Rattus norvegicus: one gene and its partners. The protein of the gene in region 7 purifies or fractionates together with the protein of the main gene of each other region. This does not show direct contact. Links are inferred from orthologs where the notes say so. Each region holds a gene or a part of one and is shown on either strand. Other genes may lie near its edges. The genes, in order: Rbbp7, Chd4, Kdm5a, Tspyl1, Csnk2a2, Hdac2 and Zmynd8.

Region 1 (3,594 bases), on a different chromosome or scaffold from region 7:
ATATAGTGTGTTTATAATATTCTCAGCAATTAAGAATGAAAAGAAAAACTATATGCACCAGTACGGAAGGTGAGATTTTTGTTAATAATCAGATCTTAACTATAAAAAGGCTAATTTTTTAGTTTTTTTTTAATACACAAGGTAGAACAAACTATTAACTTAGCATGGTAAGCAATCCATTATATTGAAAATGGGCTTTGAGAATAAATTTCATATAGCAGGTAACCTGTATTTTGGAGAGTTTCTTTTTCTCTTCAATTTGTGTTCTACTCTGACAGGGTAAAATCGGTTGGGTTGATGCACTAAATGACTTGTGATTTTTAATCCTGAATGTTTTGTTTGTCTCCTTACATTAGAATTTGGTGGCTTTGGTTCTGTAACAGGAAAAATTGAATGTGAAATTAAAATTAATCATGAAGGAGAAGTAAATCGCGCTCGTTATATGCCACAGAACCCACACATCATTGCCACAAAAACACCATCTTCTGATGTTTTGGTTTTTGACTATACAAAACACCCTGCAAAACCAGGTATGTATTAATAAAGCCAGGCCATCACACATTTTTCTTGATTAGAGATAATATTTTAAAAATACTTTAAAGTACTGTACTGTTAAGACTGGAAAATCGGCTCAACAGCAGTTAGAAACTCTGTTGGCTTTTCTATAGGATGTGGGTTCAATTCCCAGCACCCACATGGCAGCTCATAGGCCTTTGTAACTCTAGTTCCAATTCTTTGGGCCTGTGGGCACCATGTATGTATGTGGTGCACAGATATTCATGCAGGTCAAACACTTGTATGTGTTTTTGTAGAAAATATGGAAGTCATTTACTCAAAATAAATTTGTAAAATCTAAAGTAGTCTGTATAACTTTTAAAACTTCACAAAGTGAGGGATTTCATAACCACCTCTAAGCTTGGTGATTCACTAGAACCTGATAGCAAATTATACTTGCAGATGTGGTTTACTGAAGCAAAGGATCCAGAACAAAAGCAGAAGAAAATAAAGATATCAATCAGATAGGCAGTAGATAGGTCTCCACAGGGTACGAATACAGGCTTCTGAGTACCTCCTTTCTGGAGTCAAACAGGAGATGGTTTTTCTATAGCAGAAAACTAAGTGACTGTCCAGAGAAGCCTGTTTGAGGCCCAAGGTCTGGAGTTCCTAATGGAAATCTGGTCACAAGTTCCATATGCACTCATGGTAATGAAAACCAACAGCTTCAATAGTGAAGTTAGATGAATCCTTGATAAACTGTACTACAAGAAGTTGCTAAAGCATGCTTTCATTGGTCTGAGCATGTCAAATTCTGAAAGGATGGCCAAGGGTCATCCATGGTTTCAGGCTACCCAGGGTATGTAAGGATTGAATGACCAGATATGCTGGATCTATTTCTAAAAATTGCCTTGGGATGAGATGATGGGGTAGCTACTACACAGATTTATGGAACAGCTATAGTTGTCAACATTTCTGTATTAGTGATAGTATTGAGCCCAAAACCAGTCAATGCGCTTGTGGGTTCAGTGTAGAATTGCTATTTGATTCGGTCAATAATAAAAGGAGTCTGAAGCTTGGTTCTTAACCAATTCTGATAAACGGATCACTTAGTGGTTAATATGTTTCATTTTCCTCTTAGATCCAAGTGGAGAGTGTAATCCTGATCTTAGATTAAGAGGTCACCAAAAGGAAGGCTATGGTCTCTCCTGGAATTCTAATTTGAGTGGACATCTCCTGAGTGCATCTGATGACCATGTAAGAGCTGATATTCTTTCTTAATATTATACTGAGCATAAAATTGTCTTAGATCTAAGCTACAGGATCTCTGTATAGATTGAAAATTTTCTAAGATGACATAGATTGCTGTGTTAACATTTTCCTGAGCTTTAAAACAATTAGTTTCAGATTACTCTGTTAGAGCCTTAAGATTTTACAAAGCTCTTTTGAAGATTGGAGGATTACCATTGTTTAAAAGAATACTGCTAGATTTACCTTTTCATTTATTATTTGTGTAAATTCCAACAGGCTCTATTTCAAAAGTTGTGCATCTGTTGCCACTAATTTTAGATTATTTTCATTAGGTGTCTGAAAATGAAATTCCACAGATGTTAAACAATTACTCCTTGCTTTCCTTTTGCTAATAATAGCTATAGCTAGCTGATTATGGCCTATGGTATCCTAAAGTGGGCTTAACACCACCAGATTCTCTGCTTTGGGTGTGCCTCTCACATCCAAATAAGAAAGAGATTAGTCTTTTCTGTAACAGTCTTGTCACTATTGCACCAGTGTGCAAATCTTATCTTGCCTTAGTATGTAGAGTTTATAGCTGAATAAATTGTTAATGACCTCTCTACCCCAGCTACCAACATTGCACCTTCTGGTACCAGGAAGGGTGCAGCAAGTGGTAAAAACATGTAACTGCCCTGCAACCATAGGGTGTATTGTATTCAATAATAGGATCCTAAAGATCTAGTTCTGATGGACAACCACAGTAGCAATTGTCTATTTTGCTTTAGGGAGATGAGCATGTTCCTAAATAAGATGTTACCTTTTAAATCTGGTATTTTCATAGCCTTTGTTCTTTTTTGTTCTCCCTTAGACTGTCTGCCTCTGGGATATAAATGCAGGACCAAAGGAAGGCAAAATTGTGGATGCTAAAGCAATCTTTACTGGCCACTCAGCTGTTGTAGAGGATGTGGCCTGGCATCTGCTGCATGAGTCCTTGTTTGGATCTGTTGCTGATGATCAGAAACTTATGATGTAAGGTGGAAGGTTCAGTGGAACCTTGATGGGTAATCTGAATGACAGACCATTAGTGATTGGCAGACTGAGTTCTGGCTCTTGAAAGTTATGTTACAGTTTTAAAATGAGAAATAGCTTTTTGTGAGTTATACTTGATAATTAGCTGCATGTATGTAGTGAACAGTTTATTTCATTAAAAATGAAGAAAAATTGTTAAGAATGTGAAGAAAAAGGCTTGAATAGTGATAAATTCTAAATGTGATCCAGTGTTAACTGATTAGAGCTCAGGGAGGAAGAGTGTTTCCATTAGATGGTGTGGCTATAGAGCTGCATTAAAATAACTGAACTCATGCTTTATAAGTAACTATTGTACTACTGAGACTAGGAGAACAATGTATCGAAATTTGACAAGGCTAATTATAGGTAAAATAAGGAAATGCTGTAGTCTGTATTTTGAGTACCTTTAAGATGGTATATAATTAAGATAGAAATTCAATAAAAGGAACTAGACTAATTGTCCTAGTTATTTGGAGGTTTAAAACATGTCATTTAATGGACAAAAGCCCAAATTGCTGTCTGTGTGTGGTTTGTGTATTTGTGAATGGGTAAGCATATCAGAGCTTCATATAGAAAGAAAGAACATCTACTGAGCCAAAGCTCTTGGGAGCTGTAGGTGCTGTATGTATGCCTTGTCTTTTTGTGTTTCAGATGGGACACCAGATCCAATACTACTTCTAAGCCCAGCCATTTGGTGGATGCACACACTGCGGAGGTCAACTGCCTCTCATTCAATCCCTACAGCGAGTTTATTCTGGCAACTGGCTCTGCAGATAAGGTTTCATAGTTTGGTTTTCT
Region 2 (3,594 bases), on a different chromosome or scaffold from region 7:
AGGGCCACGTTCACTATTTAATAAAGTGGCGAGACTTACCCTACGATCAGGCGTCTTGGGAGAGTGAGGATGTGGAGATACAGGACTACGACCTGTTCAAGCAGAGCTACTGGAACCACAGGTAGGTGACTGTGAAGAGGGGAACTGCTCTCCTTCAGAAGGACCGAGAGGCAGCTCTGCCGTTTTCTCTCCTAGGGAGTTAATGAGGGGTGAGGAAGGGCGACCTGGCAAGAAGCTTAAGAAGGTGAAATTACGGAAACTGGAAAGGCCTCCGGAGACCCCAACTGTTGATGTGAGTTTGGGTGGAAGAGGAATGGTGTATTTGTTGTGTGGGCAGTACGCTGCAGTGTCATGGTGAAGCTCCAGGACCTGTAGATGACTCTAGCTGAGACGATCTAGATTGTCCTCTCAGAAAGCATCAGGAAAAACCCACAGATGGGATATTTTATGTTAGGACAGTGTTCACTAGGAGGTGGTCTTATATACAAGGGGCTTGTGTATGTGTGCGTGTGCGTGCGTACAAACGTATGCATGTATGTATTTGAGAAAGGCAAGGTCTCATATAGCTCAGGCTGACTTTTAACTTCTGATTTCCTGTCTCCGCCTCCTAAGTGCTTTGATTGCTTACGTGCGCCAGCCTCTACCTGGCTGGTCTTAACGATGACAGCAGTTAGTGTCCTGGCACACCGGAGCCTTTCTTTGCCTTGCATGTTTTGAATAGTGGTCTGTGTCAGGTCTCCCTGAGGCCTAGATAAGCTGCCTTGTCCTCTGAAGGATGCTAAGGCACATGCTGCAGTGACAGTGAGGATCCCATCACTCCCTTTTCCCAAGTGTATTGAGGCTCACACATGTCCACAGTTCTTTCTGCTTACTGTCCCTGTGCCCCCTCTTTCCTCCCTCCTTCCTTTAGCCACCCCATTCTTCCTTCCCTGCAGATCTCTTTCCCACATTCATGCCTTTTTGGTCTGGGACCCACTGGATTTAACTGGGACTCTCTGTGACCATTGGTTTGGATCTGATCTGTCCATTATGGCCTGGTGGATTCTGTGGCAACTCCAAGGCAACTAAATTCTTTATTGTTACATTTTGAGACGGTATATCCTGATCCAAAGACTAGTCTTGAACTCAATCCTTCTATCTCAGCCTAAGTACTAGGGTTAAAAGGGGGTCTTACCATGCCTTATTTCCCTAAGGGCTATTTTGTTTTGTTTCTCTTAGCTCTCAGGAAAAAAAAAAGATCCACTAGGACTCGTGTAGGAGGAAGCAGTCTTCCAGGAAGGGGGTTCTTTACCAGCTTTTGACCTCTCTTCTCCTTCAGCCCACAGTGAAGTATGAGCGACAGCCGGAGTACCTGGATGCCACAGGTGGAACCCTGCACCCCTACCAAATGGAAGGCTTAAACTGGCTACGCTTCTCCTGGGCTCAGGGTACCGATACCATCCTGGCTGATGAAATGGGCCTTGGGAAAACTGTGCAGACAGCAGTCTTCCTCTATTCCCTGTACAAGGAGGTAAAGAGGCTGGGAGACGCTAGTGTCTGGAGTGGGTATTTTGTGACTATATTTTCTTGTGTTTTAAGGAGTGGGAGGAAGGGAGAAAGAAATACTGCAGAGGGATAGGAAGAGACAGCTCTGTAGTACAAATCCTTTTTTCTTTTCTTTTTCTAATTACTTTGTGTGGGTATGTTGTCCATAAGTATGGCTGTGCACCACCTATGTGCAGTACCTGGGGAGGCCAGAAGAGGGGTCACCTCTTTAAACTGTAATTACAGACTATAAGCCATCATGTGGGTGCTGGGATCTGGACGTGGGACCTATGCAAAGCAGCTAGTGCTTTTAAACAGTGAGCCACTTTCTAGATCCTACAGTGGAGATTTTGCAGGATCAGAGCCCTGGTAGGCTGAGTGCCTGGAGGTAAAAGGCCTTAGTGGTAGGAAATTCTTGTGTAGGTGGAGGAGTTTGGTTTTGTCAAGGTGGGCAACTGCCTTTTGGGAAGAGGGGTGAATGGTGTTTGTAACAGATGAAGGGGCGTCAGAGGCACAGGTGTCCAGTGTCAGCTTCACTGTGGGTCAGGGAGGAGGGGGAGTCTGGGGTTCAGGGAGGGGGCTCTTAGCCCTGACTCTGCCTGTTTCCTTCCAGGGTCACTCCAAAGGCCCCTTCTTAGTGAGCGCGCCTCTGTCCACCATCATCAACTGGGAGCGAGAGTTTGAGATGTGGGCTCCTGATATGTATGTGGTGACCTATGTGGGTGACAAGGACAGCCGTGCCATCATCCGGGAAAATGAGTTCTCCTTTGAAGATAATGCCATTCGTGGTGGCAAGAAAGCCTCCCGAATGAAGGTATTTCAGTGGGAGGGAAGAGGAAACTTGACAGGGAGTCACTGCTGTGGGCTGCTTTGCTGCCTTACCAGGTCTCTGAGTGAGGCAGAAAGAGAACTTGGGGAGCAGGGAAAGCTTGCTTGTCCCAGTTGTGCTGAGGAGTGGACCAGTAGTGAGTAACCGGCTTATCGTTATGTGCAGAAAGAAGCATCTGTGAAATTCCATGTTCTGCTGACATCCTATGAGTTGATCACCATTGATATGGCCATCTTGGGTTCTATTGACTGGGCCTGCCTCATTGTGGATGAAGCCCACCGGCTGAAGAACAACCAGTCTAAGGTGAGGAGTGGGAGGTGAGAGCCTCTAGTCCTAGTCCCTTGGGAGAGTCATCTTTTTGAAAGAAGCCTAAGTAGAGAAGAGGGGAAAGTGGTCTTTATTTTCTTCTTGACCGTTGGTAGCCCCTTCTTTGGCCAGGCATTTAAGGATGCCAGCCATGGGATGAGAGGCTTTAATTCACTGGACAGTGAAACAGCTTGGGATTTTTCTGGTGCTCTGGTGCCTTCGTTTCTTGAATTTCATTTCTCTTCACCAGTTCTTCCGAGTTTTGAACGGTTACTCACTCCAACACAAGCTGTTGCTAACTGGAACTCCATTACAAAACAATCTAGAGGAATTGTTCCATCTGCTCAACTTTCTCACCCCCGAGAGGTTCCAGTAAGTGTGGCTGTCTGTCTGTCTGTCTGTCTGTCTGTCTGTCTGTCTGTCTGTTCCTAGCTATATGTTTGTTCTTCTTGTTGCTCACTTCCCGTGTTACTTTCCTTTCTTCCTTTTTTCTTTTTCTCTAACAACTCTTTTCCCCCTGAAGCAATTTAGAAGGCTTCTTGGAAGAGTTTGCTGACATCGCCAAAGAGGACCAGATTAAGAAACTACACGACATGCTGGGGCCTCACATGTTGCGGCGGCTCAAAGCTGATGTCTTCAAGAACATGCCCTCCAAGACAGAACTGATTGTGCGTGTGGAGCTGAGCCCTATGCAAAAGTGAGTGTGGAGGGATGGAGCAAATTGAGCTTCGTGACAGACACCCGCCATCCCGCCAGCAGTTTCTTCCACAGAGCTTCATGTCTGCCGATAGGAGCAAGCAGGGCCCGAGGAAAGCTCACACCTGGGAGCGGGAGCTTGTAGTTGCTCGTTCCACCTTCCTGTGTCTAACACAAGGATGGTGTGGCAGTTGCCTGTTAGCTCAGCCCCACAGTGAGGAGTGTTGGAAAGATGATCG
Region 3 (4,358 bases), on a different chromosome or scaffold from region 7:
AGAGTCTTGAAGCACAAAATTCAATCCCTATCATCTATGAACCAGGCATGTGTGCACAGCTGTGATCCCAACACATAGGTGTGAAAGCAGGAAGGCCAGGAGGTCCACGCAGTCAGGGACTATGTATCAAGATAATTGACATCTTGGACCGTATGAGATCTGCTTTTTAAAAAAAGAAGGAAGAAAGGAAAGGAGGGAGGAAGGGATTTCCACTTTTCTAAAGGTAAGCACTAGAATCTCCACTAAGAAAATATGTTAAAAATTAGTTTTCAGGGTTGGGGATTTAGCTCAGTGGTAGAGTGCTTGCCTAGCAAGCACAAGGCCCTGGGTTCGGTCCCCAGCTCCGATAAAAAGAAAAAAAAAGAAAGAAAGAAAGAAAAAATAGTTTTCTGCTATCCTATTGAATGAAGAAGCAAAGAAAAAAGGGGTAGTAACTACTTGAAACAGTCTTAAAAGACACGTTCCTCAAATACCATGTAACTATTATTCATTAAATCCCAATTAACACAAATTCTGGGTCTTGGTACGACCTTTTAAAAGTTCTCTATCTAAAATCCTAAGGTAATTAAGAAAAGCAAATTATTTTTTGGCAAAAAATAAAATCCTAAGGTAAGCCATGAGGAAACTGGAGCTATATAAAACTATGGTAGAGCATTTGCTTAGTGTGTGAGAAGCCCTGAGTCTCAAACACCACCACCACTAAGGAGGGAGAAAAAAACCCAGAAAGCAGAAATATTGGTCTAATACTCACCTCAAGTTCATTCAGGCGCTGGACTCTGGGAGTGAATCGGAAGGTTTTTACTTCACAAGCAAATGGAGGTTGCCAATCCTAAATAGAAAGAATTATTCTGGTAATTTAGCATAGAGCTGCCACAAATCATAGACTATGTAAGTCTTTATTATAGAGACAAAAAAAGCCAATGTACTTATAGTTTATATTTTAATATTACTTGAAAAACAATTTTCAAATCTTACCATCTCAAAATATAGTTATACTCTCCAAGGTTATCCAGGAATACAATGAGCGAGCTTGTCAAATGCAAAACAGTGTCCAATAAACACACAAGTTTACCAAGTAAAACTTAAAAAAAAGTCAACTGACTTGAGTATGGCACATGCCTGTAATCCTAGTACTCTGAAGTAGAGGCAGGAGGCTTAAGAGTTCCAAATCAGCCTAGACTGCACAGCTTGACCATCTTAGCAAGGACAAAACTCATTTGAGTACTTGCTAGGAAAGAAATCCGTACTGTAGAACGTTTGCAGCCACAAATTTGTTCTACTTTAACAGGGCACAGGGATCTCATTTAAAAAAACATCCCCGAGTGCTGGTTTTCAGCAACATTTGAACAAGGTTTTTCTCCCACGTGACTGAGGATGGACGCAGGGGCCTTGCAGCACTCTCCCTCACTAACAATATCATTTGAAAGGCACCTAATGAATTAAAAAAAAACTCTTCTGACCTTGAGCATATCACTTAACCTCCTAGGGGATTAATTCCACTCATTACGGGGTATCATCTGCGTTCCTAACCGTACAGTGAGGTAATTAATCAATTTATACGCAAATTTGATTATTTATATTACAGCTTAGGAATCTTTATCCCTTGCTTTCTTACATCTAGAGATTTCAACGTTTTCTTACATCCCCATTTATTGACCAATTCTTTCTAAACATCGACATTTTAAAAAACAACTAAATAATGCTCTTTATCTTCCTCGAGGATGCCTTTCCTGTTGCAGTAATAATTAGCATGGGGGTTCTAGTCTAGTGACATCACCCTGTAGACAACCTGAGTTCGGATTACATTTTAAGAAACCCGAGTAGTGGCCTGCAAAGGTTTGATAAACTGAGCTTTAGCAGGCTTGGACACAGAAACAGTCGACAGAAGTGGGATTTTTTTTTTTTTAATACGCAAACAGAAAGGCTGTGCATGAGCGAATGACAAGACACTTTAAACGCCTTTCCCTAGGAAGGGCCTGAAGCCTTTTGTTATCCTTACCTCCAATCCACACTACAATATCTGCGCCCAAATAAATTCTGAGAGGAAAAAGTCCCAGAGATTCCTATTTCTTTCTTTTGAGGGCGGACCTGAGAGCTGGTGAGATGCCTGACAATCTGAGTTCGAGCCCTCCTGAGACCCACAACGCAGGAAGAGAATCGACTCCTACAAAATGTCCTCTGACCTCTCAGCGAACGCATACGCATCCACAATAAAAGGTAAAAGTGGACGTGAAACTGCGTTCAGAACCCAGGGCAAAACATCCTCAAAAGTAGCGTCGGGACATCAGGAGATGAGGGAGGGGCCCCATGAAAGCACAGAAGAACCGAAATAGGAGAGCTACAGCAAGAGTTAACGACCCTCCCGGCCGCCCCACACCCCCTCAGGCTCCGCTACCTTGGGTGGACGGATTTTGCAGATGCCAGTTTTCTCAGCCAGAGGCCGGATGCGACCGATAAAACTTAGCGGGTCTGTGAACTCCTCCCAACTGGGCTCAAAGACCGGGCACTCGGGCGGCGGCACGAACTCCGCCGCGTAGCCCCCCGGGCCCACGCCCGCCATGGTAAAAGCCAGGGGGCCCTGAGGTGCACAAGCCGGGAAAGGCTGGGTGACGGCCGCCAAGCCCTCTCACGTCTCCTCACAGGGGCCGCAGCGCATCTTCTTAGGAGAGAACTATTCCTCACAGAAGACCCAGAAGCGCTTCCTCCTGTCGTTTGTTATTGTTTCCTTCAGGGCTTTTCCTCTCAGGGACAGGACGCTTCCGGAAGTTAACGTACTGCTAAATCAGTCCGCCACCGCAGGAAACAAAATCCCACCGCCGCCACGTCTAGTCGGGTCTTCTCGCCTTCCTCCCTTCCATGACAGCCGGCGTGCCTTTTTTTCTCAGCTTGCCGGTCAAGGTTCTGCACTCTCCGTCCACTCTGGGTGCGTGGCCCCTGATGGCTCCGCGACCTCTCCTCGAGAGGCGAGGAAGAAGCTACCCCGCAAGGTGGAACGCGCTCTTCCGGCGCGCGGAGGAATGTGTAATGCCTCAGAGAGCAGAGGTAGTGCTTCCGGTGAGGTGGTTCCTGTTCCTCTTTGTGTAGTGGGGGTGGGGACGACACGAAAACAAGGTGGGCCCCTCTCTGGCTGCTCTGCTTTATTTGTTCTCCGAGACCTGTTTTAACCCAGTTGTCTACGTTTGGACAAGTAACTAACCCTTGACAGAATCTCCCGTCTCTGTTTTCTTCTTTCAAATGCTAGTCTTGTACGAATAATTTCACTCGGTCGCTTTCATACGGGTCTCTCGCTTCTCCGTGACCAATTGGTTTCGGTCCAATTCCGTCATCGTATGGGCCGGCCTTAACCAACACCAGCTGCGAATTGCTTTTCTCACTACACAGGGAACTATATAGCTCCTGGCCTTGCTCTTCTAGCTGTTGGTAGCGGTCCTGAAACCTTATTCGAGAAGTAAGCAGGACCTGAAAACACCTACTTTGCTAACCTTTTCAGTTTGCTATGAAACGGTCACCTTGTTAGAAACCGCTACGTGTAAGGTCGGGCATGGTTACGCAGGCAGAGAGTTCCAATCAGCAAGGGATGTTTAGACAGGAAAGAAAAAAAGCGATGTTTCTGGTGTACGCTCCTACAATTCCCTTATGCGTTTAAGCCTGACTCTACAAGGTTGAAGGCAAGAACCGACTCCAAAAGTTATCCTGTGCCCTCCACATCCATACGCCTACAGTCGTGATATGTGGACACGTGGTTTAGGGGCAGTCCCAGCTGCATATGAATTTGAGGCCTGATTAGGCTACAGAAGACCCTGTCTAAAATAAGAAAACTCCCTGTGTGCTATAGATTCTGGGGAAGGAGATGTAGAAAGATCACCATAAGGCCTACCTGGTATTACCGAGTTCCTGATCAGTCAAGAATACACGGGGAAGGAGGGCTGGGGATTTAGCTCAGTGGTAGAGCGCTTACCTAGGAAGCGCAAGACCCTGGGTTCGGTCCCCAGCTCCGAAAAAAAGAACCAAAAAAAAAAAAAAAAAAGAATACACGGGAAGGGACAGAACAATGGCTCAGCTGTGAAGGGCACTTGCCACTAAGCCGGAAAATCGGAGTTTGATTTACTGGAACCCACGTGGTTAAAGGAGAGAACTCCTGAAAGAGGTCCTCAGACCTTGTCACGGGTCCACACACTTAAATATACATATTCACACATTAAGTAAAGAAAAAAGTGAACAAAAGTGGGGAGGGTGAACTACGTAGTACAACCCTGTCTCAAAAAAAAAAGGTTCTATTCTGCTAGTCAAATTGAACCCAAGTCCTTGAACATATTAGGCAAATGATGTGCCCTGAGCAATAACTCCCGTCTCTGTCT
Region 4 (4,368 bases), on a different chromosome or scaffold from region 7:
TGAAATGTACATTTGAATAACACATGAAAATACCCATGGAGGTGAGTTGTGAACCTGAAGAAGTGAAGGCGTGGTACTACTGCACAAGTTGTGTAGGAAGATCTGAAATCACAGTAATTAGTTGAAACTGTCAACCTTCGAAAGCAACAAAACAATGAGAGTAACAGCCACTCTTTAAGCAGGAGAAAGTTACTGTGTTCTCTTGATACCTCTGGGATAATGTCAATTGTGTTCATTTAAGAAATCTGATAATTCAGCAATCTTGTTAATTATACAAACCCATTTAGGCAGGCTTATGGCCAAGATGCGAGGGGAAAGAAAGCCATCCAACTGGGTACCATGCTTTTATTTACCATCATGCATACAAACAGCAACAAATACACTCCGAGTACAGTGCTAATCTGACAAAGAACTTTTATAACTATGTGCAGTTTAAGAAGAGACTATCAAGTCAATCAAGTCACATATTTACTTTTCCATAAGTCAATAACTTGACACATTTGATAAAGACCAAATTATCCAAGCTGTTTCTAAGAATTTGGATTAATATTGAAAACTGTTATGAATATTCACTTAAGTCTATTGCTCTTCCAAGTGGTTTCAAATGAATGCAAATGAAAGTGTTTAAATTTCTCCAGTAAGTAGAAACAAGTAGCATTTTACTAAATGTTGGTAAAATATGAACACAGTATTACCCTTTCACTTACATTAGATCACATATAAAGAGAGAAAAATAACCCAAACGTGAACTGCTTCTTTAAAGAAGCGTTGTCTAGGCAACATTCAACACTCAGAGAAAGTATTTTTCCTGAGAAATTCTCTTCCCATCACCAATGACTGGCCAAAATATGAAAGCTCTCATCCTGTCTTCATCCTCAGCCCAATTTTTATCTGACTTACTTTGACTCTAAGCCTTTTCATTTTCAGCTCACTTTTCCTGCTTAAGGTACCCATCACAATCTCTTTAGTTCTTCCATACATTATTAGGAAAAGCTCACCTGTTTCCATCTAATTCTGTCTCTGTATTCTGTCTCCATATAAGCTTTTTAGGACTTGCTAGCTAACCAGGCTGAGGAGTGGGTAAGAGAGGAGACAAGGCAGAGTTCTGTGACCTCTTTTACAGAGCATCCTCTCAGGAAATGCTGAGTATAAATGAACTACAACTCCTGATCTTACAGGTGTTTTTGAACTACTTTTCTTTAAAATAACAGGAGAAAGGTGGGAGAGTGAGGGTGAGGAGTACTGGCAAACACAATGAAGCCTAGAAAAAGTCACAAAATGACACAGAAGGTGGCCCACTCCTGCAATGACCTTTAGGCCCAGCAACTGTCTGAAAACTTTTTGCCCACATTGCCACGTGCTGAACAGGTAAATAGAAGAGCCCCCAGATAAAGCAAGACATCTAGGTGGCAGTAAATGGGTAACACTGAAAACAGCGTCCACACAGTGTAAAGGCAGTGCGATACAAAGTTTCACTGTTAAGCTTAGAAAAGGTACAAGTCAGGGCCACGAACCGGCAGATACTAATTCAGGACAGCATGGGAGCCATGTGAAGGCAGAAGCATGCCCACAGTCTTAATCTCGAGGTGAGGAGACTATCCAAACAGAAGATGCTGAAAAGTCAGGAGGAAAGAAATCAAAACACTGCGTACCCGGTGCATTTGCTCAAGCACAGGCGAGAAGGGACTTATTCCAGCCAGCTGCATTTTCAAAAGCAAGGTTAGCCTGACTGGAAGCCAAAAGGCCTGGGAATCTCCACTGGTTCCCTTATTGGGCGACGTCGGGGTCTACGGATTCCTTCACGAGACAGGTAGTATTGCAGTGGGTTTGGCCACAGGTCCTCTTTGATAATCTCGGCGATCCTGTCAGATTCTGGAACGCTGTGGTCTGAGAACCAGGTGAAGAAGCTGCAGATGAGGTCTCGGTTTCTGCGAATGAAGGACTGGGGCTCATGCCCACTCCGCCATATGATTGGAGTGGAAAGAGACACCACTCGGCCGGATGATCTCACTTCATATTCTTTGACAATCAGCTTGTTTCTGAAGTAGGGGTTTCTTCGGAAAAAGAACTTGAATTTGCAGCCAGTCTTAGGATGCCTCAGTTCCTTCACCTCCAGATTGGTTATGTACCTTAACATCTCTGCATCCTGACCCCTAATCATGGCGGACAACTGAGGGTGGTTGCGGAAGGCGGTCATCCAGAAGCCTGGGATATTCTGAATGATGTAGTTCCTTCGCTCCAGATAGTGTCGCCGCATCCGCCCAAACTTCTGCTCCAGATGTTGGAAGGCCCTGTCGGCCTGAGCATTCACGGTGTCCAGTTCCAGCTGGATGGCCTCCAGCGGGTTCGTGCGAAGATCGATGCCCAGGTGCCAAGGCCCTGCCTCCTCCTGCGCCTCCCTGGCTCCTCCACTAGCCTCCGGCATCTCCATTTCTTCACCCGCGGGCTTCTGCTCCACCTCCATCACCTCCTCACTCCCTTGCATCGCCACTTCTGACTGCTCTCGCGCTGCCACCGCGACGGTGGCCCGTTCAATCTTCACGTCGTGGGCCCGGGCCTCCGCTCCCCGAGTTTCTAGGGCCTTCTCCGCATCTTTCGGTGCCACGAACGCCGCCGCCGCGGGGCCCTCGACAACAGGCGGAGTCTCTCCTTGCCTAGCTGCGGCCACCCGCACCTGGGGGCCAAGGCCCGCGACACCCCGGGGCGCTGGGCTCCCCACGATCCCCGCGCTGCCCTCACCTGTCACCGCCTTCTCGCCGAGCAGCGGACGCCAGCCTGGGGTCCCCGGGATAGTGTCAGCATCGCAGAGGCCGCGGTGGTCGGGCACAGGGGTCCCCTCGTCCGGCTCCCGGACGCTCATGTCCGGTCCGGTCGCACAGACCTCAGTTTACAAACCCTCAGGGTCCACGCAGCCCCACCTCCGCCCCTCGCTGTTTCTAGGGCGGTGACGTCAGGGCCGCAAGTACCGCGAGAGCCGGCAGCGCACCTGATTGGTTCCTCAGCGAGGATTGGCTTCCGTGTTTGTTTGGCTTCTGTAAACGTAGCGGTTTGCGATTGTCACGTTTATTTCGGTAAAGGAATGTCAGTTATCCTAGGAGACTGAAGGCAGTGGCGGGGCTTTTGGAAACGTCTCCCGCATCCCGGCTGCCGCCATGTGTGTCTGGGTGTCTGTGTGTCTGTGTGTTTGTGAGTGTGCGCACAGCATTTACTTTGCTTACTGTCCACAGCAAACAAGTTCATCCACTTTCCACTGACGTGAGAAGGTAAAAATACCGCCGGATATTCGAAAAAGCTAGGAGCCAAAATGTCTGTTTTTAACCAAGGTGAATGCCAAGGCACCCCCAAACCCCTTCACAGAACTGAAGAAATAATGAAGTCTGGCCTGGTGTGATGGCCCTTGCCTGGCGACTCGGTGCTCCGGTGCTGAGGCTCCTTGATTTGGAGGCTAACCTGGGCTGCATACACGTTGGCTCAAAAAGAATAAAAAAGCAGTTCTATTCTAACCTCGGACGTTACTGGGAACGAAGCTCGGTGGGTTTGGTTTTGAGAATTCCTGTTTTTTTGGGGAGATGTTTTGTGGTTATAATTAACGATTGTTTATACGGGTGCACTGTGATACACATCACGCTGTATAGTTCTTATAACAATCTTGTGATGTATTAAGATTTTTTTTTGAACAAGGAAAAACTGGGTCTCTTACCAAAATAACATTAAAAATGACAGAGCAATGATTTGAGCCCAGGAGATTTGATTCCGAGGCTCTTTGGACAGGATGTGACTTCACTTTAAGATATAAGCATTAACGCATAACTAATGTCAAGTTGGTACATATTTTCTCCCATCACCTTTCCTCATGAACAAATAAATTAATATTTAAGAACTTATTTCCTTTCTGTTTTGAGAAAAAGAAGGTAGTTATTCATGGTCCCCAAATTCAAATTTATCAGAACAAATGCCACCTTCTGAATAACAAATGTTTCCAAAAGGCCGTTTAACTCCTTTCGATAAAGTTCATAGACAATGTAACCCAGCTATAAACATAAATAGCAAATTTAACAATTTTACTATAAAGGTTATTGTAGTGGTGGCGATTTTAGTATAGCAAAGGGGTCAACGACTTAGATTATTATAAGAACTATATGACGCGGTGTTTATCACACAGTGGTAAATTCACCAATAAGAACATGGTTAGAAAATTACATGCTTCATAAAAGTCAGTGTGGATGGAGAGTAACACAGATATCTATATCAGCTCTTCTGAAACTGTGACCCAATTTTCGTGAAATTCTGGGTAAATCATGCCCCCGCCTCTCCCCAGTGCACTGCTTTTTCCACGCAGAGAAATGAATTTCCACTGCTAAATACTTG
Region 5 (3,594 bases), on a different chromosome or scaffold from region 7:
TGCCACCTTCCCAGCCCAAGGCTCTTTAGGTCTTATTTTATCATTCATGAAAGTCCATGGGCCTCTCTTTACCTTGGTATTATGATAACGGTGCCTTAACAATAAAGTAGTCCATTTCCTTAGCTCAGTCTCTCTCTTGACCCACTTGAGAGAAAAGCCCAGAGAAGAGGGTGCTGCAGGGCAGTCAGGTTACCAGGCCTGAGTCTTGTTCTGTTAGCTGAGACCTGGGGGAATAACTCCTCGGCTGCTGACCCTCCTACTTAGAGGCTTCCTGGGGGTCAGTGGACTTCCTCCTCAGTCGGCAGGCGGAGGTCAGAGAGTTAGCATGTGCTGTACACTTACTGGTGTGTCCCTTACTGTCTGTCCTGAGTGAGTTATAAATGTCGTGCTTGCCTTTTCAAAACTGCTTTTCTTTATTAACTTCAGACAGGAAATGATACACATACTGTGAGTGTTTCTAAGAACTTACTTTTCCATCTTGTAGGTTGGTGCCTTAGCAGTTAGCAATCATTGCTGGATGAGATCAGCTTTCCCCTTTGCTGAGCCAACAGCTCTCTCTCTCTCTAGGAATGAGATCTATTAGGAGAGTTACTAGCTCTGAGCTGATTTGATTCTAAATCTTAAGGAAGTGGGAGTGGCAATAGGAAATGGGAGCCAACAGTTTGGAAGCAAGTTTGTAACTTAATGTCAGTGAGCTAGTTCATGCCCTAAGATACAACTACATCTAAATTGTGGGAGAGCAGGCGTCTAGCTACTTTCTTTCACTTTTTCCATTTGTTCATGGTCTGCGGCTGTTCAGAACCATGACACATTTGGCAGTAATCCAGTAAAAATGCATTTATTTTTAAAATACTACATGAATGTTAAAGTTTGCTAAATGCCCTAGATATAACTACTTAGGGAGATTGCCACATAAGCTATAAACTAAAATGTTTAACCTGAAAGATTATTATAGGAAAGCTCACTTTCTCTCTTCTAGTTAAGCATATTCTTTAACACAACACAGTACACAGCAAACAATCTATGCTGTTGCCTTAACATTGATTAAAGTTGTATTTATTATGTTAACTTCAAAAGGAGTCTCACTTCTGATTACTCTTGTGTATTTAAGCCAGTGAAGAAAAAGAAGATAAAACGAGAGGTTAAGATTCTGGAGAACCTTCGTGGTGGAACAAATATCATTAAGCTGATTGACACTGTAAAGGACCCTGTGGTAGGTGCCTGGTGGCTGGGGCATGTGCTAGTGGATTGGGGTGGGCTGTTTTTTTTTTTTTTTTGTTTTCTCGGAGCTGGGGACCGAACCCAGGGCCTTGCGCTTCCTAGGCAAGCGCTCTACCACTGAGCTAAATCCCCAACCCTGGGGTGGGCTGTTTAACACCCAGGACCTTGTATGGTGCTGCATAATGGGCTGGTGGCACTGATAATTACTACCGAGGGGGTTTAAAAACCATGCAAGAGCCACGCCCAGTGGTGATAGCCCCGGGAAGCCCTGCTTTTGTTCTGTTTTTGAAAGCTGCTCACTGCCAGTTTGCATTATCTTACGTCACTCTAGTAGCTTGATCTTGGGAGTATCTATGTTGATTCTAGTGTAGAGAACTAAGCATGTCTCAGATCGCTAGTCCTTTGAAAAAGAAGCCTTACTGTTTCATATTGCTAGTCTTTAGTTCAGCACCTCATGTTGTATACATACGTATAAAAATATCTACGTATTTTTACAACTAAAATGCTTCATTTGGGGCAAGATGGCTCAGTGGGTACAGGCACTTGTCACACAGGCCTGGTGACTAGAGTTTGATCCCTAGGAACCATGTCAGAGTAGAAAGGAAAAGCCTGCTCCACAGAGCTATTCTCTGACTCCACATATGTGCCATGGCACATGTGCCGTCATACGTACGTGTATATACATATACACAATAATAAAATAATCATAAAACAGTCTCAATTTCTACCTATCTTAGGGTGCTATTCACTTTTTCCTTCCTCTAAGGAAGAAGCTGGCAGTATTTGCCTAGGCTTTGATCCTTGAGACCACCTTCGTGTCATTTGTGTCTTCTTGCTGTTGTCCACCTGCTCTGTCTGATTATCCCCCTGTTCCCCAGGAGAGCTTCATGTAAGCTCATCTGAGAAGCAGGTCTTTGCTTCTGCATGCTGAGGACACCCCCATACTCTAACGCAGGCCAGGGGCTAGGCTAAGTACTTGGCTGCATTGCACCACTTAATCCCTGATGATCCAGGGGCAGGGGCTCGTACTGCTCTTGTCGACATCTTACTGTAAGGAAACAGAAATCAACAAACATTAAGTCATTTGCCCACCTGCACGGTGATAATATAAGATAAGAAAATATTTTTCTTTTGGAACTTGATCAAGCCTGAGAAAGGTGGTTATATACAAACTCGTAACTGATTGTCACTAAATAATATATCTATCCTGCTTAGTTCAAATTGATTACTAGCCCAAAATTACTTAATGTTCAGGTTAAAATGGGTTTGTCCACTTGAGAATATAAATTCACTCGTGTGTGTGTGTGTGTGTGTGTGTGTGTTTGTTTTAATGTTTGAGATAAAAATGGATATTGCTCACTTAAAGAACACACACACCATATATATATATAGAAAATGTAGATTTAAGGATATAGCTGGGGGTATAGCTGAGCTGTCTAATGGCAGAAGTAGGCCTTGAGTTGGATCCCTAGAACTACATAAATTAGGCAAGGTGATGTGTGTTTGTAATCCCAGCACATAGAAAATGGAAGCCAAATGGATGGTCAGAAATTTAAGGTCATTCTCAGCTACATAGGGGATTTAGGGCCAACCTGAACTGGACACCCTGTCTGTGTGTGTGTGTGTGTGTGTGTGTGTGTGTGTGTGTGTGTGTGTGTCTCTCTCTCTCTCTCTCTCTCTCTCTCTCTTACACACACACACACACAAACACACACACACTTTAAGAGATGGTATAGGGGGGTTGGGGATTTAGCTCAGTGGTAGAGCGCTTGCCTAGCAAGCGCAAGGCCCTGGGTTCGGTCCCCAGCTCCGAAAAAAAAAGAAAAAAAAGAGAGAGAGAGAGAGATGGGGGTTGGGGATTTGGCTCAGTGGTAGAGCGCTTGCCTAGCAAGTGCAAGGCCCTGGGTTCGGTCCCCAGCTCCGAAAAATAGAAAAGAAAAGAGAGAGAGAGAGAGAGAGAGAGAGAGAGAGAGAGAGAGAGAGAGAGAGAGAGAGAGATGGTATAGGGACTAAGCCCAAGGGCCTTGTACATAGAAGACAATAATGAGTCAGTAACTGGTGAGCATCCCCTCCCCCTACTTTTTCTTCTTTCCCCTCTCCCTTCCTCCCTCCCCCCTCAGTTAACTGAAGTTACTGATACCTGGCTTAGTATTTGTAACTTGTTAACGTGTGTGTAATATATGAGTTAAGCAAAAATTGAAGACTTGAAAGTGGTTAAAAGCACACGTTATCTTCCAAAGAACCTGACTTTTATTCCCAGCACCTGTGTCAGGTAGCTCAGAGCCACCTGTAACTCCAGCTCTAGAAGGATCCAACACTTGGCGTCTGTGGATAGCCATACTTACCTGCACATAGCAAACACATACACATTTA
Region 6 (4,368 bases), on a different chromosome or scaffold from region 7:
ATAAATTATACATTAGATGGCATTGCATGATTGGTCCCAAGCTTCACTCCAAACAAGGCATAGTTCACATTTCTAGATGAAGTATTAAAACCATGAGCATTGCAATTAGAACCAAATGTGGCTCCATCTGCTAAATTACACTTAAATAGAGAAAAAAAACAAACAAAAAACCCCCCAAAAGCAAAAAACCTCGGTTTAAGGTCAGAAAGTATACTAGTGTGTACATAATTAGCTTCAGATCATTTGATGAAGCATTGATCTTTAATAAGAGATTAGCCAAAATTCAGAAATGTGTTTCTGGGAATTAGGATGAGCAGTCAATCAATAGTCGTAGTCTACTAAGAACTCTGATTTCTCTTCTGAGGATTAGGGATAGCTCACATGCCCCTATCCAAAAGTTCACAGAGCAGTGGCACAGAGATCTAACAGGTCCAGTACTGCAGACAGTAATGAAGACAGACATGTAGAGAATTATTTCTGTAGTCTAGCATGCTATCACATGTCACATGTTAATTAGCTTAAGACACCAATTTAAGTGTTCTTTTCCATTTTTTGTTAACTTTCTTTAATGCAAATATTTGGAATGAAAATACGTCCATCCTAAAAACAAGCAAGAACCAGACAGATTTTCACAGATAACCCAGCAGATTTCCACCATTAGTTGTACAGTTGGTTACTTACATCTAGGTAAAGCTGTTGCATGGGCGTAAGTTAAAAATCACATGACTGAAAAATACCTCCATCCACCCGTCTATCCCATCCCTCAGTAAAGGCTCATCCCCACACAGGAACCCGGGAAGAAGGCGCTGCTCAAGACACACTAGAGTACTGTCTGGTTCTCCATCAGACCCGGTCAAGGTTACATGGGATTTAAGAGTTCATAGCTGAGGAAAGAAGCTGACAGCAGAAGAGACTGAGCTGTTCCCCAACAGTTCATTATTTCCCTGACTCTACCCTCTAGCAGAGCAAACCTTTACTTTGGAAAGGCTGTAATTGTAATTTTTCAAGTTAATTCATACAGTGCATCCTTTCCAATGGATCAGAGAATGCAGGTCAGGGGTCTGCCATGAATCCCACTTCATAATGGTTAAGTCATGTCTAAGTTGTCATGCTTTCCCATCTCTGCTCTCCACGATAGTGTAACTTTTCAATGTAGTCCTCTCAAACTGCCAATTAAGCCAGTGGCACTCGCCTTTAATCCCAGGATTTGGGAGGCGGGGGCAGGTTGATCTCGGAGTTAGAGTCAGCCTAGTCTACATAGGACAGTTTCAGGACAGCCAGGTCAACTTATCGAGAGCCTATCTCAGAAAACAAAACAGCCATTTAAAAGCTGTTTCTATTTTGACCTAGCTTTCTGTCAGGTTTTTGATTTTCCAGCCAATGACAGGTGACTATTTCATTTAAAGCCTGTATTAAAAAAGATTCGACCAAACCAAGAAAACAAACGGTTATTTGCAGCTAAAGTCGGTTTCATTCGGCCTGCTTTTCTACACTGTAATCTACCTCTCCAAGACTTCAATGCACCAACTACAGAAAACGCTCCCAATTTCGTATTGCTTTGTAGAGATGAAGCGTTTCGAGTCCGTGAGGCTAGCTAGTTCTGTCCAATTTCCTTATTACTTCTCTCAATAGTTATCAATTAATGTTCTGGGTGAAATCTGTAAGGCAGGGCACTACTCCATCTAGTGTAATTGGACCCAGAGACTATGACTGCTTATATTCCAAATTAGGGAACACGTACAGTCACCTTGTACCGTCCACTGCACTCTGAGCTCAGCCCTACCTGTATGGAATATGTAGTCTACTTCTCAAAGTTTGCTGCAGCAGGGTCCCCACCACACTTGGACAGACTTCCTAACCAAGATGCCCATGCTCCTTCCTAAGCCCCAGAGCAGAGTATAACTGCGGATCGAACAAAGACCAACAAAGAAGTGGGTGGTAATAACCTCCCATAGAGACATGCCAAGACCCACCAAACAAGAGCAACTCCACGCTCCCTCTCTCCCATCACTTCCCCACAGGCCTACCTACTTCCAATTCAAAACCCTTTAATTGTCACGGAGGAAGTGCAGCCCTTCCATCCGAACCCTGAGAAAGTGGAGCTTGAAGAAACCCGACGAACAAAGGCGAGGGATGGAGTCCACGCAAAACACCAGCGAGACAGCGCCGCTCTGCGAACTTGGCCCCCGGCCAGCAGTAACTCCTCCGCAGCTCCACCCGGGCGCCGGGGTCCCGGGTGAGGCTGGAAGCGCAGCGCCGACAGATCGGGGGCGAGAAGGGGGGACCGGGCGAGCGGGGGAGGGGACAGGGACGCAGGGCGGAGCTCCAGGACGCCGGCTTTGTGCAGTCAGGCCCGGGGAGCCGACAGGGGTTCCTCCGAGACCGGTCCCAGGCAGTGCACCCCAAACATACGCGTGCCCGAGCGGAGGACCGGAGAGGAGCGAAGGCGGGCGTCCCCGAGTAGGCGGGCGAGCGCTGGGTAGGCCGTGTCGGTGTCCCCGCGGGCTGCCACCCTCGATACCCCGCCGCGTCCGACCCGCAGCCCCGCTGCAGGCTCCCCGGCCACTTACCGTCATAATAGTAGCACACTTTCTTCTTGCCGCCTCCTTGACTGTACGCCATGGGCTCCGGCCGCCGCCTCCTGGCTGCGGCTCCTCCTCCGGCTGCTCTCGCCCGCCGCGGCCCGGCGGCCAGACAAGAGGGCTGAGGGAGACGGCGGGCGCGGCGGCCCTCGCAGCAAGGACAGCCCGGAGCGGGACGGCGAGCGGGTGCCGGGAGGGCCCGAGATCGCAGAGCGGGGTTGGCAGCGGCGCCGACGCGCGACACTCGGCAGGGGTAGGCCTCCGGGCGGCGGGGCTGCGAGTTGGGAGGAACCACTGCGGCCGCGCGGAGGGGGAAACACAGCTACGGGCCGGAGGAGAGACCGGGCCGGAGTGGATGCCACCGGTCGAGGCTGCAGCAGTGCTCCGTATGTCTTATCACACACACAGTCCGGAGGTGCGCACAAGCCGACCTTGGCCCTGTGCTCAGAGTCCCGAACGCTCTGCCACCACGTCCCCCTCTCGGTCTGGCACGCACTGGTTGCACCGGGGCCGAGCCTGCGCACTCCGCGCCTGCTCAAACGGATCCCGGGCAGTCTAGACCCCTCCGCCAGGGCTCACGCCTCTCCCCTCCCCCACCGCCGCGACGCGCCTGCCCGAGCCCGCCACGTGCCGCGGGGACTCCGAGGGGAACCCGCTGGAGAGCTCCCCAGGGCTGCCCCCGGGCTGCCTGGTGGTCGGATATTCCCACGCGTTCTAATTCTCCTGTTCTCTCCTCCCTTCTGATAACTACTCTTGAGTTACAGAGAGGTTAATGGCTGAAGGTATCTCCTGGGTTTAATAAGCATTTCTTGGACTCAAGCATAAGCGCGGTTCCCAGCACCCAAACCTGTTTATAATAAACGCCATTTAAAGGTGTCAAAGGTGCCGGGATGCACGCGCCGTGCGCATCTCCTTATGGGTGCGGGTAAATGAAGGAGCCCTCAAGTGTGAGTCATCTGAGGACCGAACGGGTGTCAAACTTTTCCAGACTCCACGTGCTTTGTCTACTGTATCAGACTGTCAGACAATCCAAAAGGATGGATTTAAACATTGGAGTCCCTGTGTTTTAATAGCTTGACGTTTATTGAGCACCAGTCTAAACCAACCTTCTTAAACGTTACGCAAAGAAAGGATGGGAGCTGGCTGTCAAATCCAACACTCACATATCTTAACCGTTATTATTTACAATTCCGGCTACATGCGCACACCGCTTCCTTCCGTAAGAGGAGGGGTTGAAGTAAGAACCATACTGAGTCATTAACAAAAATAATTATTTTCTACCTTGTGACCCCCAGGACTCTCCATACTTAAAACACCAATCTTCTAGACATTACTCCAAGAGACTTAAAAATCACTCCAAGATACCCCTCACCACATCCACTTCTCTCCCAAGCCTGTACTTTTAACAAGACCCTGGGAGATTAACACGGTAGGTTCAGGGACTACAGTGTTCTCCCATGTCTGTTTCCCGTGCTTTTTAATACCAAGTGTCCTTTTAGTTCAGCATTTAACATGTTAACTGTTGGCCGTAACTCCTCAACTGGTCTCTCAGTAGGACACTTTCACAAGAGGATAAGTCGATTTTTTTTTCCCTGAACATAATCTAGTCTAGTGCCTGTGACTTCCAGCAAGCCATTTGAATTTTTTTTTTTGTTTAAGTGCTTTTCACCAATAAAATGAGAGGCTTTCTTATATGACTATTAAAACCTTCTTGGGGCTGGGGATTTAGCTCAACGGTAGAGTGCTTACCTAGGAAGCGCAAGGCCCTGGGTTCGGTCCCCAGCTC
Region 7 (3,594 bases):
TGATGTCACCCCCTTCTCTCTTTGTTGGGGGTTTGGTTTTTTGTTGTTTTTTTAGTGGTTTTGAGACAAGAGCTCATGAAGTCAAGGCAGCCCTCGGGCTCCTAATCCCCCTGCCCCTACCTCCCAAATGCTGGGGTTACCACACTGGCCCCTGCTCTCACCGCAGCTCCTTCTATGGCCACCTTACGGGATTAGCAAGTGTCAAGCATGGTGGGGGGGTGGGGGTGGGGAGTAGGTTGTGTATTTTTAGAATAGGGACTTTGAAGTCTAAGTTCTCGTCTTTAAAAAAAAATTGCCAGTGAACAAGGAATTTTTGCCGCAAAGCTCGACGCCACGGTCCCACCCAAGGGAAGACAGACACTAAATTAAAACAGCACAACCATTCTCATATTCCTATAAAAACTCTATTTTTTTTTTTTTTTGAAGTTCGGAACAAGAGAGCGAGGGGGAGCTTGCACAGGGACACACTTTTATTTTATGACGTGCTCACTTCAAGCAGGTTTTAATGGGCAGCTCGGTGAGGTGCACCTGTCATCCCAGCACACGGAAGACGGAGCAGGAGGATCCTCCTGACCAAACCAGTCTGGGCCATCACTTAAGTCACCCCTTCATTGCATCTCTTCTCAGATCCTTGGAGACGGCACATTAGAGATCACCAGGAAACATAACTCCAGTCAACACTGCCCTGGTCACTGCTCTTGTCCTACTGTGGGTTCTGACTCATTCTGTTCCCAACCGAGCCTACACACAGCAGGGCCTCCGTGTGTAGCCAGTAACGGTTGCCATGGTAAAGGTGAGGAGACTAAGGCATAATAAACACATTAAATATGTTCCCCAAAGCCACATGGGCTGAGTGGGACTCCTACAATTATAGACAGTGACCTTGAAGGAGGTCTGGTAACTGGGCGGGGGACCCATTTTGACCTTGATTTGCTTAACATCTAAGTTAAGCCTAACACAGAGGTATCAAAAACTAAACTTTCAACTACAGCGTAGTCACAGGGCACTGTTCTGAAGAGCCAAGAGGCTCTGACATTGGACGAAAGCCCCTCAGGGTTTGTGGCCAGTTCCACCCACGTCTAAGAATGGCCGCCGCTGGCCTTCGGATACAGCCCTCATCTCTGGGGTCTGGCGGTGCCTGCCTGCTTGCACCTACGGTTGAGGCATCCAAGGACGCCAGAATGCACCAAGCGGCCTCCTACCCAACTCTCCCAACTGGGGCTGACCTGTGCTCTTATCAAGGAAGTCCATGGACTCTTCGCTTGCGCTGAAGTGGCTGGATGGGGCCTTCTTCTCGGGGTCCTGCTCCACATCGGAGCCCGTGTGCACAGAGGAGTTCGTGCTGGTGGGGGAGCGAGGCATGTCGGACAGGGAGATCCTGCGGCCCGCGCCCCCGCTCAGAAGGGGCTTGCTCAGAATGATCTTGGGGGACGCCGTCATGTCAAAATTGAGCTTCACCTTCTCCTGTTTGTCTGTCTTGGCAGTGCCGGCGCTGGGATTGCTGGGATCCAGCAGCATTTGGTACTGGCTATTGGGGGTGTAGGGCGTCCTGAACGGGGAGTAATTAAAAACCCCGAACTTCTTCCGTATGTTCTCCACGTAAACTTCCATCTCCTGCATGGCGCTGTTGAAGATACTCTTAGTCTTTTTCACAGAAAAGGGGATTTCTTTTGACATGAGGTAGCAATTATTGACTGGAACCCAGGCTCTAGGATGGCAAGAGAGAGAGAAAGAGAGAGAGACACTCTGAGTCAGCGTCAGTCATTTCCGAGGTAGTTTACTTTTTTTTTTCTTTTTTAATTTTCTTAATGCAAATCAAATTAGCCTGGTGGGTGCCTGCCAAGATTCTTAAATATGGGGCCTCCCTTTTTTTAAATAATTGACTTGTTTTGAATGGTTAATGAATGATCCACTTCACAGAGGTATTCAGGATAGAACACACACGAACAACAAAATTCAGCCAGAGATGTGAGCGGGTTCCACACACTCAGCCATCTTAATCGCCCAGAAACAAATGGACGGCTCAGCAGGGGAAGCCGGCTCAGCAGGGGAAGCCACAGCTGCCAAGCCTGGAGACCTGCGCTGGCAAAGCCAACGTGGAGAGAGCCACCTCCCTCAGGTTGTCCCTGGGCCCCCACACATGCGCAGTGGCACTCACATGCGTGTGCAGGCATGAGCGCGCACGTGTGCACGAACACACACACACACACACACACACACACACACACACACAGATGAGTAACTAAATGAATATAAATGGCAGAAGTAAATACAATGGTAATTCCTTCAGTTCCCTGCTCTTTCAGGGTGAGGAAAAGAGTCCCAGTCCTCCACGACACATCTGAGGAGGGGTGTGTTTCCTGGATCTCGCTGGGCAGCACATGCAGGCGAACACTTCAGTCGTACTCGAGACAGAATCTCACTATGTTGTCTAGGTTGGCCTGCAACTCAGGGTGCTCCTGCATCAGCCTCCTCACTGTCTGGACACACGTGGCAACATTTGAGAGGGTAACCACCCGGAAAACTCTTGATACTAAGTAGACTTTGGCTCTGGGGTGCACGCTCTCCACAGACCTTGCTACTTCGGGGAAGGCCTGTCCTTCTCCATCGACCCCCACACCCCAGGACGTTTTGCAGAGACCCAGAAACCAAAAGCAACAGTGGTGCCTTTTCCAGTACCGGCAACCTGCATGACCCCGGGAACGACTGAGAACACCCCCAGCACCACTCCTGTGGAGAAGGGACACCAGAACACCTTGCTCATTGTGCACTCCCGACTCTACGGCCTCAACTTAGTTCCTAACTTTTCTATGGAGACGTTTAAGGGTTCCTGGACCTCAAACCAAAGCCTGGCATGAGTCCATGGGATGTGGGAGGGGTGGGGGAGAGAATAATCTTGCTTCGATAAGAGAACCATCTGCCCAGCTATGTCCAAAGTGCCTACTTAGGCTGCCCAGTCTTCCTGGTCTTTGAAGACAAACAGTGGGTTTCAGCTACAGCATTTTGCACCGTGTCACCAGTGCGCACTGAATTCCTACATCTGAAGAAGAAATGGCCCACAGGAAAGGAGGTCTGTGCAGAGGCCGAGTTCAGCATGAAACCTGGCTGCAAGGAGAACCCCTAAGCACACAGCTGATCTCGGGGTGCTATAAGTGAGCAGCTCCCCTCCTTGTGTGTGCTAGGGACAGCCTTCTGCGGGGACTTGAAGACCCTTATATCCAGACAGGTGGACCCCACCAAAGCTGAGCAGAAACCAAATACCTACCAGAGACAGGGCTCTGGGCTAGGTAAGGAAGAGGCCAGAGTCACTCGGGTCCCCAGCCAGCAAATGACCACAGCTGTGCGTCAGCACCAAGAGCCTCCCCTCAGCCAAGGGCCACAGGCTCAAGGCCCTTGACCCACTCTAGGCTGGTATAGTTTCAAGGTCCTAACTGTCCAGCCAGCCCTTGGTTCCCAAGTCATTTAAGGGGCCTCAGTAAGAATAAGCACTGTGTCCTCAAAAGGGAATGAGATATTTGTTGACACAGAAAGCCTGAGGGAGGGGCCGCAGCGGCCATGTGCCCAGGCTCTCCCCGGAGGGATGCTGGGCAAAGC

Evidence for each region.
Region 1: the proteins of Zmynd8 (region 7) and Rbbp7 purify together in Homo sapiens (affinity purification with mass spectrometry; 3 studies listed by BioGRID and IntAct, with this or other methods). This does not show direct contact. The link is inferred for Rattus norvegicus from reciprocal best matches to the Homo sapiens genes ZMYND8 and RBBP7.
Region 2: the proteins of Zmynd8 (region 7) and Chd4 purify together in Homo sapiens (affinity purification with mass spectrometry; 7 studies listed by BioGRID and IntAct, with this or other methods). This does not show direct contact. The link is inferred for Rattus norvegicus from reciprocal best matches to the Homo sapiens genes ZMYND8 and CHD4.
Region 3: the proteins of Zmynd8 (region 7) and Kdm5a purify together in Homo sapiens (affinity purification with mass spectrometry; 3 studies listed by BioGRID and IntAct, with this or other methods). This does not show direct contact. The link is inferred for Rattus norvegicus from reciprocal best matches to the Homo sapiens genes ZMYND8 and KDM5A.
Region 4: the proteins of Zmynd8 (region 7) and Tspyl1 purify together in Homo sapiens (affinity purification with mass spectrometry; 4 studies listed by BioGRID and IntAct, counting the BioPlex papers as one, with this or other methods). This does not show direct contact. The link is inferred for Rattus norvegicus from reciprocal best matches to the Homo sapiens genes ZMYND8 and TSPYL1.
Region 5: the proteins of Zmynd8 (region 7) and Csnk2a2 purify together in Homo sapiens (affinity purification with mass spectrometry; 6 studies listed by BioGRID and IntAct, counting the BioPlex papers as one, with this or other methods). This does not show direct contact. The link is inferred for Rattus norvegicus from reciprocal best matches to the Homo sapiens genes ZMYND8 and CSNK2A2.
Region 6: the proteins of Zmynd8 (region 7) and Hdac2 purify together in Homo sapiens (affinity purification with mass spectrometry; 4 studies listed by BioGRID and IntAct, with this or other methods). This does not show direct contact. The link is inferred for Rattus norvegicus from reciprocal best matches to the Homo sapiens genes ZMYND8 and HDAC2.

The regions. Positions count from the first base shown.
Region 1 is NC_086039.1:35,549,488-35,553,081, reverse strand, and holds part of Rbbp7 (histone-binding protein RBBP7), read left to right. Parts: intron 1-356; coding exon 357-530; intron 531-1,636; coding exon 1,637-1,752; intron 1,753-2,596; coding exon 2,597-2,757; intron 2,758-3,447; coding exon 3,448-3,574; intron 3,575-3,594. UniProt on the Homo sapiens protein: Core histone-binding subunit that may target chromatin remodeling factors, histone acetyltransferases and histone deacetylases to their histone substrates in a manner that is regulated by nucleosomal DNA.
Region 2 is NC_086022.1:159,594,799-159,598,392, forward strand, and holds part of Chd4 (chromodomain-helicase-DNA-binding protein 4), read left to right. Parts: coding exon 1-121; exon of another isoform or gene 122-195; coding exon 196-292; exon of another isoform or gene 293-1,318; coding exon 1,319-1,510; exon of another isoform or gene 1,511-2,137; coding exon 2,138-2,338; exon of another isoform or gene 2,339-2,518; coding exon 2,519-2,656; exon of another isoform or gene 2,657-2,909; coding exon 2,910-3,031; exon of another isoform or gene 3,032-3,182; coding exon 3,183-3,356; exon of another isoform or gene 3,357-3,594. UniProt on the Homo sapiens protein: ATP-dependent chromatin-remodeling factor that binds and distorts nucleosomal DNA. Acts as a component of the histone deacetylase NuRD complex which participates in the remodeling of chromatin.
Region 3 is NC_086022.1:155,236,734-155,241,091, reverse strand, and holds the start of Kdm5a (lysine-specific demethylase 5A), read right to left. Parts: upstream 2,857-4,358; 5' UTR 2,561-2,856; coding exon 2,396-2,560; intron 830-2,395; coding exon 752-829; intron 1-751. Other genes in the region: Ccdc77 (coiled-coil domain-containing protein 77), read left to right, coding at 2,857-3,054. UniProt on the Homo sapiens protein: Histone demethylase that specifically demethylates 'Lys-4' of histone H3, thereby playing a central role in histone code. Does not demethylate histone H3 'Lys-9', H3 'Lys-27', H3 'Lys-36', H3 'Lys-79' or H4 'Lys-20'.
Region 4 is NC_086038.1:39,635,558-39,639,925, reverse strand, and holds Tspyl1 (testis-specific Y-encoded-like protein 1), read right to left. Parts: upstream 2,892-4,368; 5' UTR 2,861-2,891; coding exon 1,721-2,860; 3' UTR 332-1,720; downstream 1-331.
Region 5 is NC_086037.1:9,572,278-9,575,871, forward strand, and holds part of Csnk2a2 (casein kinase II subunit alpha'), read left to right. Parts: intron 1-1,111; coding exon 1,112-1,213; intron 1,214-3,594.
Region 6 is NC_086038.1:42,101,587-42,105,954, reverse strand, and holds the start of Hdac2 (histone deacetylase 2), read right to left. Parts: upstream 2,829-4,368; 5' UTR 2,623-2,828; coding exon 2,571-2,622; intron 1-2,570. UniProt on the Homo sapiens protein: Histone deacetylase that catalyzes the deacetylation of lysine residues on the N-terminal part of the core histones (H2A, H2B, H3 and H4).
Region 7 is NC_086021.1:174,987,399-174,990,992, forward strand, and holds part of Zmynd8 (MYND-type zinc finger-containing chromatin reader ZMYND8), read right to left. Parts: intron 1,709-3,594; coding exon 1,227-1,708; coding exon of another isoform or gene 1,153-1,226; exon of another isoform or gene 386-1,152; intron 1-385. UniProt on the Homo sapiens protein: Chromatin reader that recognizes dual histone modifications such as histone H3.1 dimethylated at 'Lys-36' and histone H4 acetylated at 'Lys-16' (H3.1K36me2-H4K16ac) and histone H3 methylated at 'Lys-4' and histone H4 acetylated at 'Lys-14' (H3K4me1-H3K14ac).